Linked DNA regions of Arabidopsis thaliana. The protein of the gene in region 1 interacts with the protein of each later gene in a pairwise test. Each region holds a gene or a part of one and is shown in the gene's direction. Other genes may lie near its edges.

Region 1 (4,040 bases):
TGGATTATGGGTAATTAGTTCCACATATTTCACCTATTGAAAGATGCATTCTAATGTATCAATTTTGAACGGTGGTACTGGTACATCGACGACACTAGTATGAACAATTATGATATAAATTAAACTCACTGGTTTTTGCAAATGTTCTAACTATAAAAACATTTTTCTTTGAAAATTGTTATCTCACTACCGTAGTAAAACGATGGAGATAAGAAAAGCGAGAGGTCATGTGGGAGAGGGCGTGAAGGATGGGGATGCTCCCTGATTAGAGGGGGGAAAGAGTGTCCTATCATCACATGGGAGGTTAAACTGGTTCTTATTTATAACTTCAAAATATTAAAACATAAATAGTCCCACCTTTGTGTGCTCATCAGCAAACATTTTTCTTTAATGTCCAATTTATCACACCATCTCCTTGTTTTCTAATACATATCATACATCTACTAATCATCATTCATTCATATCTTTTGCATATATCATCATCTTCATCATCATCATCACGTGTTTAGATCTAGCAAATGGTTTGTTGTTATTTATGACCAAAACAACATTACCATGTAGTATTTATATAAATCCTAAATAAAAATTGAAACTCACTGATACAATTAAAATTAAAGTATTTGTACAAAATTACATATTGACGAATGTTAGTTGGAAATCACCTGTCTAAGTTTTTTAGAACAAGTGCTCAAAGATATTGGGTTCGACAATTGATGAAATTCCACTTAGGCATTACATATAAATAAATATCGTAAGCATATACACTATCAATTGAGGTACACGTGATCGAGCTTGGACTAAAAGTGTAAGACTAGCCCCTCCCTATTGGCTAGGATAGATACCGTACGTTCCCTCAAATTGACCTAAGTCCATTGTTTTTGTTTACCCGTATCTATATAACTGAACCACAAAATCTTCTTGGTTTTACGCATCACAACGATCATAAAATAATGATATACTCATATAGGTATATCTTGAGTATATAGACAAGCTTTACACTAGCTTGTATAATAAGATAAATAGAGTGGTGATATTTTAATGTTGCATTGTTTCAGTACTTGAAATCAGAATCGTTTCCCACTTGAAAAATTAGTTTCTCTTTGATCATAGCATATCTAACAAGACATATTAGTCGAGCTTTTGGATAGTTGTCGTTTGGTCTTAAAAAATAATGATACATTCTCACAAACTCTCACCGTACCTCAAGGCTCAAGCAAAGCTAGGACATGCTATTAAGGAACTGTAACTACTATAGCTGATTATCACAAAGTCTCACCTCAATATATATAAAGATTTTAATGACTAGAATAATTATAAGTTTTGAGATAAATTATCAATGTATCCAAGTGAAAGTATTGTTTGGTATTTTCTGTCAATCTAGATATTCATTTGCGAATTCCTAATTGACGAAAAATAACAGATATTATAATGTTACTAATTAACAAAAAATAAATCTTTGAAAAGATTTACATCATTGAAATACTACAATATTAAAAATATAATAGCATTATAATATCGACAATACTTATAATACTCATATAATAATATAATAAGAAGATTTTAAATGTACATAATACAAATTATTGCAAAAAGATTTCCAGTAATAGATACTAAGTTCTACTAAAGTTTTTGAAACTTTTTAGGAAAAGCAAGATTTTGTTGGAGACTTTGGATTAATGTAATTTTCAAAAGAGAAGAAGATGGTTTTTTTTTTTCTGAATATAAGAAAATAGAAGATATATATCTATCTTCGGTGTATTTATTGTTGATAAATATGCTGTCTTTTTTTAAAGTAAATAGATAAAAGTTAGACAGACTTTTTTTTTGTCTTATGTATCTTTTTCTCTAGTTTTTTATAAATCAACTTTAAATTAATCATCAAATAATAGTAATATTAGACACATATATACATCACGATCTGATAAATTTGTAAATTCACGTGTCATGTATCCAAGACTCCAATTCTAAACCACTGTTCTCTCTTGTGCACTTGTCATCGGCATATCCAACACCCCTATTTAAGATTATTTGTATTACTCTCGCTCTCTCTCTCTCTCTCTATCTAGAAGTGGTCCTAGCTCTCTATATAACACCATTTCTTCTCCTTCTTTCTTCTCCCTTTCTTTCGACAAGCACAAACAAAGCCATCAAGAGAAGAAAGCCTTTTCTTGGATTCACATATATATAAGAATATTTTTTCAAATCAAACATGTCTTCTAGCAGAAGGTCGAGACAAGCAAGCTCATCATCAAGAATTAGCGATGACCAGATCACTGATCTCATCTCAAAGCTCCGACAGTCCATTCCGGAGATTCGCCAGAACCGTCGTTCCAACACGGTAAATCTTTTCAAAAGTTACTGTGTTTCTTCTATGTACCAAGGTTTTGGCATAGTCACATAAGTTTTACTTTGATGATATTTATTTAGGGTTAGCTATTATGTTTAATAGAGAATCACGCATATACAAGTATACAACATGTTAGAATAGTGCATTATAGTCATAGAAGTACGTGTGGGAGACTGCATTTTGAAGTTTCTAAAATTACTTTTGACCATTAACCGGACTTTGAGGAGAGGGGAACATATTTTCCCTAACTTCAGCATTAAGCTTCTAGTTAATTTTACTTTTATTATTGATTAACTACATTGAATGTGAGACGACTATATTGCTTCACGGACCATCAATTCAATACATTTATGTACAGCACCGACTAATTTTTATATTTGGTTTTCTTAGTTTCTATATAACAAGAAAAGTACGAACTCTAGAAAAATAAGAAAAAGCTGGTTTCTATAAATGGAAGCATCGTTTTCTTATAGTACACACAACCAATCAGATTTGTTCTCAATTTCAAAACAATGTGTTGGTTAAGTTATGAGCATTTTTATTTTTTTGATAAAGTATGGGCATTTTATCTTAAGCTTTAGGTTTAACTTTTAACCTATGCATAGTGTAGTATGTCAAGCAACTAGCGTCAATATATTTTCTTACATTATTAACACGCATCATAACTTCAAGCTAAGACTTGTTTCTGTTGTTGTTAAAGCAAGCTAAGACTTGTTTGAATATTTATATTGAATCCTTACTATAAAATGTACAATTGTGAAAATTGTTTGTAGGTATCAGCGTCGAAAGTGTTACAAGAGACTTGCAACTACATAAGAAACTTGAACAAGGAAGCCGATGACCTCAGTGATCGATTGACTCAGCTTCTGGAATCCATTGATCCTAATAGCCCACAAGCCGCAGTTATTAGGAGCTTGATTAATGGATAATTAAGATATAAATTGATTAGTTGTGCTTTATATATATAAGCTTAAAATCTCGTTGGGAGGTTGATCCATCAGGGTGTTGCATAATTATATATCTATTTTATGTTTCTTATATATTATTTACAATCCTATCTAGTTAGGGTTCATATTTTGACCCTTTTTTGGTTTAACGTCATGCATGCAATTCCATTAAGCTTAAAAATTATAATAAATAAGATTTCGAGTAATTATTTAATTTAAATCCTTTTATATTATATTGTAAGTGTGTCCATTTGTATGTGTGTTAATGCGTTATACAAATGGATATACTATATAAGTATATATGGCACCCAAGAGGTTAATTAATTTCAAAGTTAATTTAGACTTATCTTCGAAATAGATAGAAAAGTTGATTAATACTATCATTTAAAGCGTACATGATTATCAATTTTGCATGAAAACGTAATAGGATGACTCAAACCTACCAGACTCACATAAAAAATAATATCTCAACCATTATACCACTATACATTGTTACAAATTACAAACTACAGAATGAAACAAAATCTATATTTATTAGCTTCTCACATATTAAAAAAAATAAAAAATCCAACAAATGTTTTTGAAAACAGACCCATCGTGCATTATATTTGATAATAAAGATAACATTTACACTAGTTTGCTATAAAATTTAGTATTTAATTACCTACAATAATTTTACATATATATATATATATATATCTGTATAAAATTCCCTAAAATATTTGAAGGTTTAGAAAACAGGTATA
Region 2 (5,613 bases), on another chromosome or scaffold:
GTTAGTGTTTTCATATTTGCCTCTGAAAAGTGTTGTTAAGTTGATGTTAAATTTACCAAAAGACTATTAATCATTTCATATTAGCAATCCAAAATAGACCCGTTGAAAAAACAATGATTGAGCATCATCATCTGTTAATCTAATCAATACTTCCCTTTTTCTTCCTTTAAAAAGAAACTAGTCCTTCTTCTTCCATTGTCTGTCGTTCACTTAGTTTATTTGGTGTCTAGAATTAGGGAGGCAATCTCTGTGCCACCTTCATCATACTTAATAGTTAGTTTTCCTTTCCTTATCAACTTTTTTCATTAATATAATAAGAAAAAACTCATTACATCCGAGATACATAATGATTTGCAAATAAATTTGAAAACCTTAGATAGCTGGAATTATGATTTACAGTAGTAAATTTTCATAGTAACAAATTTGAACTTCCAATCCGAAATATATTTATTTCTATTAATGGAAGATAACAATTACAGCCAGCAACCTTTGTGATACATGTTTTTTTTGTTGTTGTTGTTGAAGTAGAGCCCATGAGAATTACGCAAATCGCAGATTCGAATAGTGGTTTCTTTGACTCAGTTCGTAAAACAGATAATTCATTAGGTTGCTTTGTTCTTCACCAACAAATTTTCTGCTTGATTCTAAAGTATAAATTGAGAAAATTTAAGTATCTAAATCGAAAATATATTCTTAAATTCGAAGTAGATAAACTATTTTATTGTAAGTGACACTTTAGTGAATAATTGGATATGTTGTTTCTTATCATTAATTTGTCATGTGGAATCATTCTAGCTTATAACTTTCTAAGGTACAGAGAATATGCCACGTTACTGACACAATTATTAACCCTTAGCCCTTAGGTTAAATGAATACTATTATCTATGAAGCATTGCGCATTGCGCTCTGTTTCTAACATCCTTTCCACCCGCCTAAAAACATCTTAATACAGTATATATACCATTGTGGTACTTTTATGTCTAACATAAACTAAGATAGGTATTTTCCATTTTAACTGCTGATCAAACTCAACATAGTGAACAGTACAAACAAAAATCAAACTAACAGTAACTTTTCTAGAAAATTAGTTTGAACGTAGCTAGCTTTATTTATATATGAATTAACCCAATGGAGAAGTTCAGAAGCTCCTTTTTTCAGCAGGATATATGAATAAAATGACGCCACTCCCTTATACTTTACCCAACAATCTATTAATCTTATATCTACTTATACATATACACAAAATTTAATGAAATTTTATTCATACATATTGATAGATACACATACAAAACTTTTTTTTGATAAAATACAGGAGTTAATTTCAGTGATCTTTTCTTTACAGGGAAAGAAAAAAAAGCCGTAAAGAGAGGCAGTGCCACTAACCCTACATCGCACATGCATTTCGTTTGGTATATTACTTTATGCGTAAAGTAGTATTTTAAATACAATTCCAATATTTACGAAATCATTGCACTGAATACAAAATCCAAAGTTTTGAGTTTTTGGCCCCTCTCTTTTTGCCCTGTCAGTCCATTAAACGACCACTATAAGTCGTAAATGGATTTCTCCAATAGTAATATGACACGTCATCCTTTCGTTTGAATCTACCTTCCTCCTCCATTCCACCAAAGTATCGGCCTTTATACAAGTTTGTTTGTTTTCTCTTTTCGTAAACATCTTTAGATATCAATAAGCTAATTTAGTAATTAAGATTGTACCCTAAATTGATTGGAAACTATCGTTATGGATGCTCTACCCACATTAGGATCTTTGTAGCATTTCTATTATGTATTTTACTCTCTATTTAGATTATGTCTACAAAAGATCGAAAACTCGTGATTGTAAGAAATTTTGTATATAAATTTCTTTCTAAAATCTCTGTCAAGAGGGTAAGTTTAAAAAAATAATTGTGAACTAATCAACGTGGAACAAAACTTTTTAAGTATAATCATAATTCATAAACATTGCTTCAAGTCACAATGATGTCTCTGTCTCTCATTATTCCAAAACCATTAGAGGTTATAGAGCCAGTTAATTATAACTTATCAATTCCACTAGTGTTGAGAATGAAATTATTTGTTTCTTGGTGGTATTCACGAATTCTCTTTATCATGCATTACAAATGCCACTTTCGTATCTGGCTAAAACAACAAATACTAAAAAACAAATTGACAAAACGACGCCGCTTATTAACTGCTACATCTAAAACGGGGCCGTTTGTTAACTGCTACGTCTCGTGATAGTTGATACCTCTCTCCCTTTATATATCTTCCTCTTCTTCTCCCTTCCATTATTCTCCACAATTTCATAACTTTCTTCCGCTCAACTTCAGATAAATTCGGATTCTGTAGCTCTTTCAATACGACTGCGGAGATCAGAGCCAATTATTTGGTTATGGCGTCTCTGATCTCAGATATTGAACCGCCGACGAGTACTACTTCAGATCTCGTTCGGAGAAAGAAGAGATCCTCTGCTTCATCCGCCGCATCGTCTCGTTCAAGCGCATCTTCCGTCTCCGGTGAGATTCACGCGCGATGGCGATCGGAGAAGCAACAACGGATCTACTCAGCCAAACTGTTCCAAGCGCTCCAACAAGTCCGCCTCAACTCTTCCGCCTCAACATCATCATCTCCAACGGCTCAGAAACGAGGAAAGGCCGTCCGTGAAGCCGCCGATCGAGCTCTTGCCGTTTCCGCTCGGGGAAGAACACTCTGGAGCAGAGCGATCTTAGCTAATCGGATCAAACTGAAATTTCGTAAACAGAGACGTCCTCGAGCTACGATGGCGATTCCGGCCATGACTACGGTGGTTAGTAGCAGCAGCAACAGATCGAGAAAACGGAGAGTGTCGGTGTTGAGATTGAATAAGAAGAGTATACCGGATGTTAACCGGAAAGTACGTGTTCTAGGCCGGTTAGTTCCCGGTTGCGGTAAACAATCCGTACCGGTGATTCTAGAAGAAGCAACTGATTATATTCAGGCTCTGGAGATGCAAGTGAGAGCCATGAACTCTTTAGTTCAGCTTCTCTCCTCCTACGGCTCAGCTCCTCCACCGATTTGATGAGGTTAAAATCGTCTTTTTAATTCTACCATCTCTCGATCTTTCACAGCTTATGTGTATATAGAAGATTCGGTTTGATTATAATCTGTAACTACTCTTCCCAACCGCTGATTCTTCTCTGCTACAAGTAAAAGTAAATTTTGAACCGAGTCTTCCCATTTTTACGATCCTCAAGTCTAAATTAAGTATATGATTGATTAATAAAGTCTTTACCATTAGGGTTCAAATCGTAGTTGGATTATTTGATTTAGATTGATGAATTCGTTGTTGATCAAAAAAAAAATAAGATTGATGAATTCGTTATTGGAGTTAGTGGGAAAATGGGTTCCTCTTTTAACCTCATAGTATGTGATAACTAAACCAATATGGAACTTTTGATGTACTTTTAGTTCATTCAATATGGCTTTGTACTATATCATCTTATGTACTATATGAAATTTCAACATGAAATAGATTTGTACTGCAATAAAGTGGAAAGAAAATAATTTCCCATTTAGAATTTTAAAATACATTATAGTAGATGTAGGAAGATAATGGGTTAACTTTAGTTTTGATTATGGTAGCATGTGATGATGCATTAGAGAATGAATGGAATGATACATTCAAATTCATTGAATTGAATGATGACTGATGAGATTGATCTGTCACTCAATCATCTACTCGCTTTATTGCCCCTCCTTTGAATCCCATTTTTGATACTTATAGGTTGTTTGTCTTCTTTTTCTTTTCTTTTCCTTATTTCACAAGAAATATAAAGGAAAAAAAGAAGAAAAAAGATTAAATTAGCTAATAATTCCCTGTTACTAAATAAGTTTTCTCAAACACTAATCTGCAGTTCTGCACGTACTGTATATCCTTCAATATTCATCACGAAGCAAAACTGAATAACCTGTAGTTAAAATTGACTTAACAGGAGTTTGATTCATTAGCTTAATTAATATACGAATTTCTGTGATAGGGATATGATTTAAGAACACTGGAGTATGACTAGGCGACAACAAGAGACAAGTGACGACAAAAGCAAAAAATATTTAAAACATAGAGAGAAGTGACCTTAAAAGTATGAGGAGGCACATGGGAGTGGCCATGCCTTTGTCCTCTTGTTTCTTTTTAAGCCTTCTCTTATTAACTTGCACGACAACTCTTTTCATCACATATTTCATAAGTTATATTATTATTGCCAAAAGGGACAAACTATTAGAGAAAATAAACCGCAACATTGTAGAAGATTGGATTAAAACTCGCCAACACACTATTAGAGAAACTTGCCCAGATAAAATTATGTCCATGTCGAACACAGTTATAACCAAGGAGCCTAATTCCCAAAAAATGATTTTTATATTTGGAAACCATCCATTGCAGATACTCCTGGAGGTTTCTCCTAGTCTTCAGTGCCGAAGATTTCACGACAAAAGAAGACTTGAAAATCTCGATACTCTTTTGCGGAACTTTCCCACCGCGACACAAAGAGATCACTCCACAGAGATATGAGGCAGCTTTGAGTCCTTTAGACGCGGCTTTTGCAAACATTCGATCCCTTTCTCTTCATCAACAATATTACTGAATAGGTAAAAGCACTTCACAATTCCTTCACGAGCCACTGCTTCCGTGTTTCCGCTCTCTCTGCATCTCTTGAGAAAACTCTAGCTTTAGTTATAGGTCATCGTTTGCGGTTTTGATTTCGTCGAGGCAGACGTGTTCGAGAACTTGAGGGTCGTTGCAGAGATTATGTAATGATTTGCATACGAGGCTGAAGTTGAACAAGCTTGAGTGAAGAAAGAGCCACGCGTGGCAAGATCTCCTTCACAACCACTTCTTCTGGGAGAGACTCCATTTTATAGTGATTTGAGAAATGATATTTTAATTTAGGGTTTCAACTTAGACGTTTGCTTATTAAATTGTGTGAATAAATAAATATATATATATATATATATATATATATATATATATATATCATTAATAAATAAATAAACGATAAGAGTAACCTTAAAAATCTAGTTGAACCCTAAACCCTATGGCTAATATATACAATGTAATATATTATTCCTCTAATCATCTTTTAGAAATTTTTTATTATTTTTAATTTACACATAAATCAATATCTTTTTCAGATATAGTTTTATCTACATTGTATGTAATACCTCCATGTTGCTACACGTTAACACTTGCATATTTGTTACTCAATCTAATTAAGCAGGAATTAAAAACAACGGTTAACCGGAAAACTTTTACTATTTATCCATTCAGTATTATCTTATAGCTCAAATTACTTTTAGTTTTTACATATAGGATATAACTCTCACACACGTAAAATACGATTAAATTTAAATTCAAACTAGGACACTTATCTAATCTAGTGTTATCTGAATTCATAGAGTGTTAGAAGAATTAGGAAACGTTTTTTAATCAATAACATCATTTTTGGGAATAATATGTTTATCAAATATAAACCTACCCAAAGAAAAAAAAAATCACCAACAAATATAGTACGAATTAAGATTCATAAACGTGTTCCGGAATCCAAAAGATCGAAAGTTTTGGATAAGTAAGATA

The links.
Region 2: the proteins of BNQ2 (region 1) and AT3G06590 interact in binary tests that used the Arabidopsis thaliana proteins (3 or more experiments, as listed by UniProt).

Annotation. Positions count from the first base shown.
Region 1 is NC_003076.8:4,920,723-4,924,762, reverse strand, and holds BNQ2 (BANQUO 2), read left to right. Parts: upstream 1-1,950; 5' UTR 1,951-2,209; coding exon 2,210-2,338; intron 2,339-3,120; coding exon 3,121-3,276; 3' UTR 3,277-3,520; downstream 3,521-4,040.
Region 2 is NC_003074.8:2,052,094-2,057,706, reverse strand, and holds AT3G06590 (basic helix-loop-helix (bHLH) DNA-binding superfamily protein), read left to right. Parts: upstream 1-2,040; 5' UTR 2,041-2,394; coding exon 2,395-3,060; 3' UTR 3,061-3,064; exon of another isoform or gene 3,065-4,018; 3' UTR 4,019-4,628; exon of another isoform or gene 4,629-4,707; 3' UTR 4,708-4,960; downstream 4,961-5,613. UniProt on the Arabidopsis thaliana protein: bHLH transcription factor that binds DNA on specific sequence 5'-CANNTG-3' in target gene promoters. Negatively regulates brassinosteroid signaling.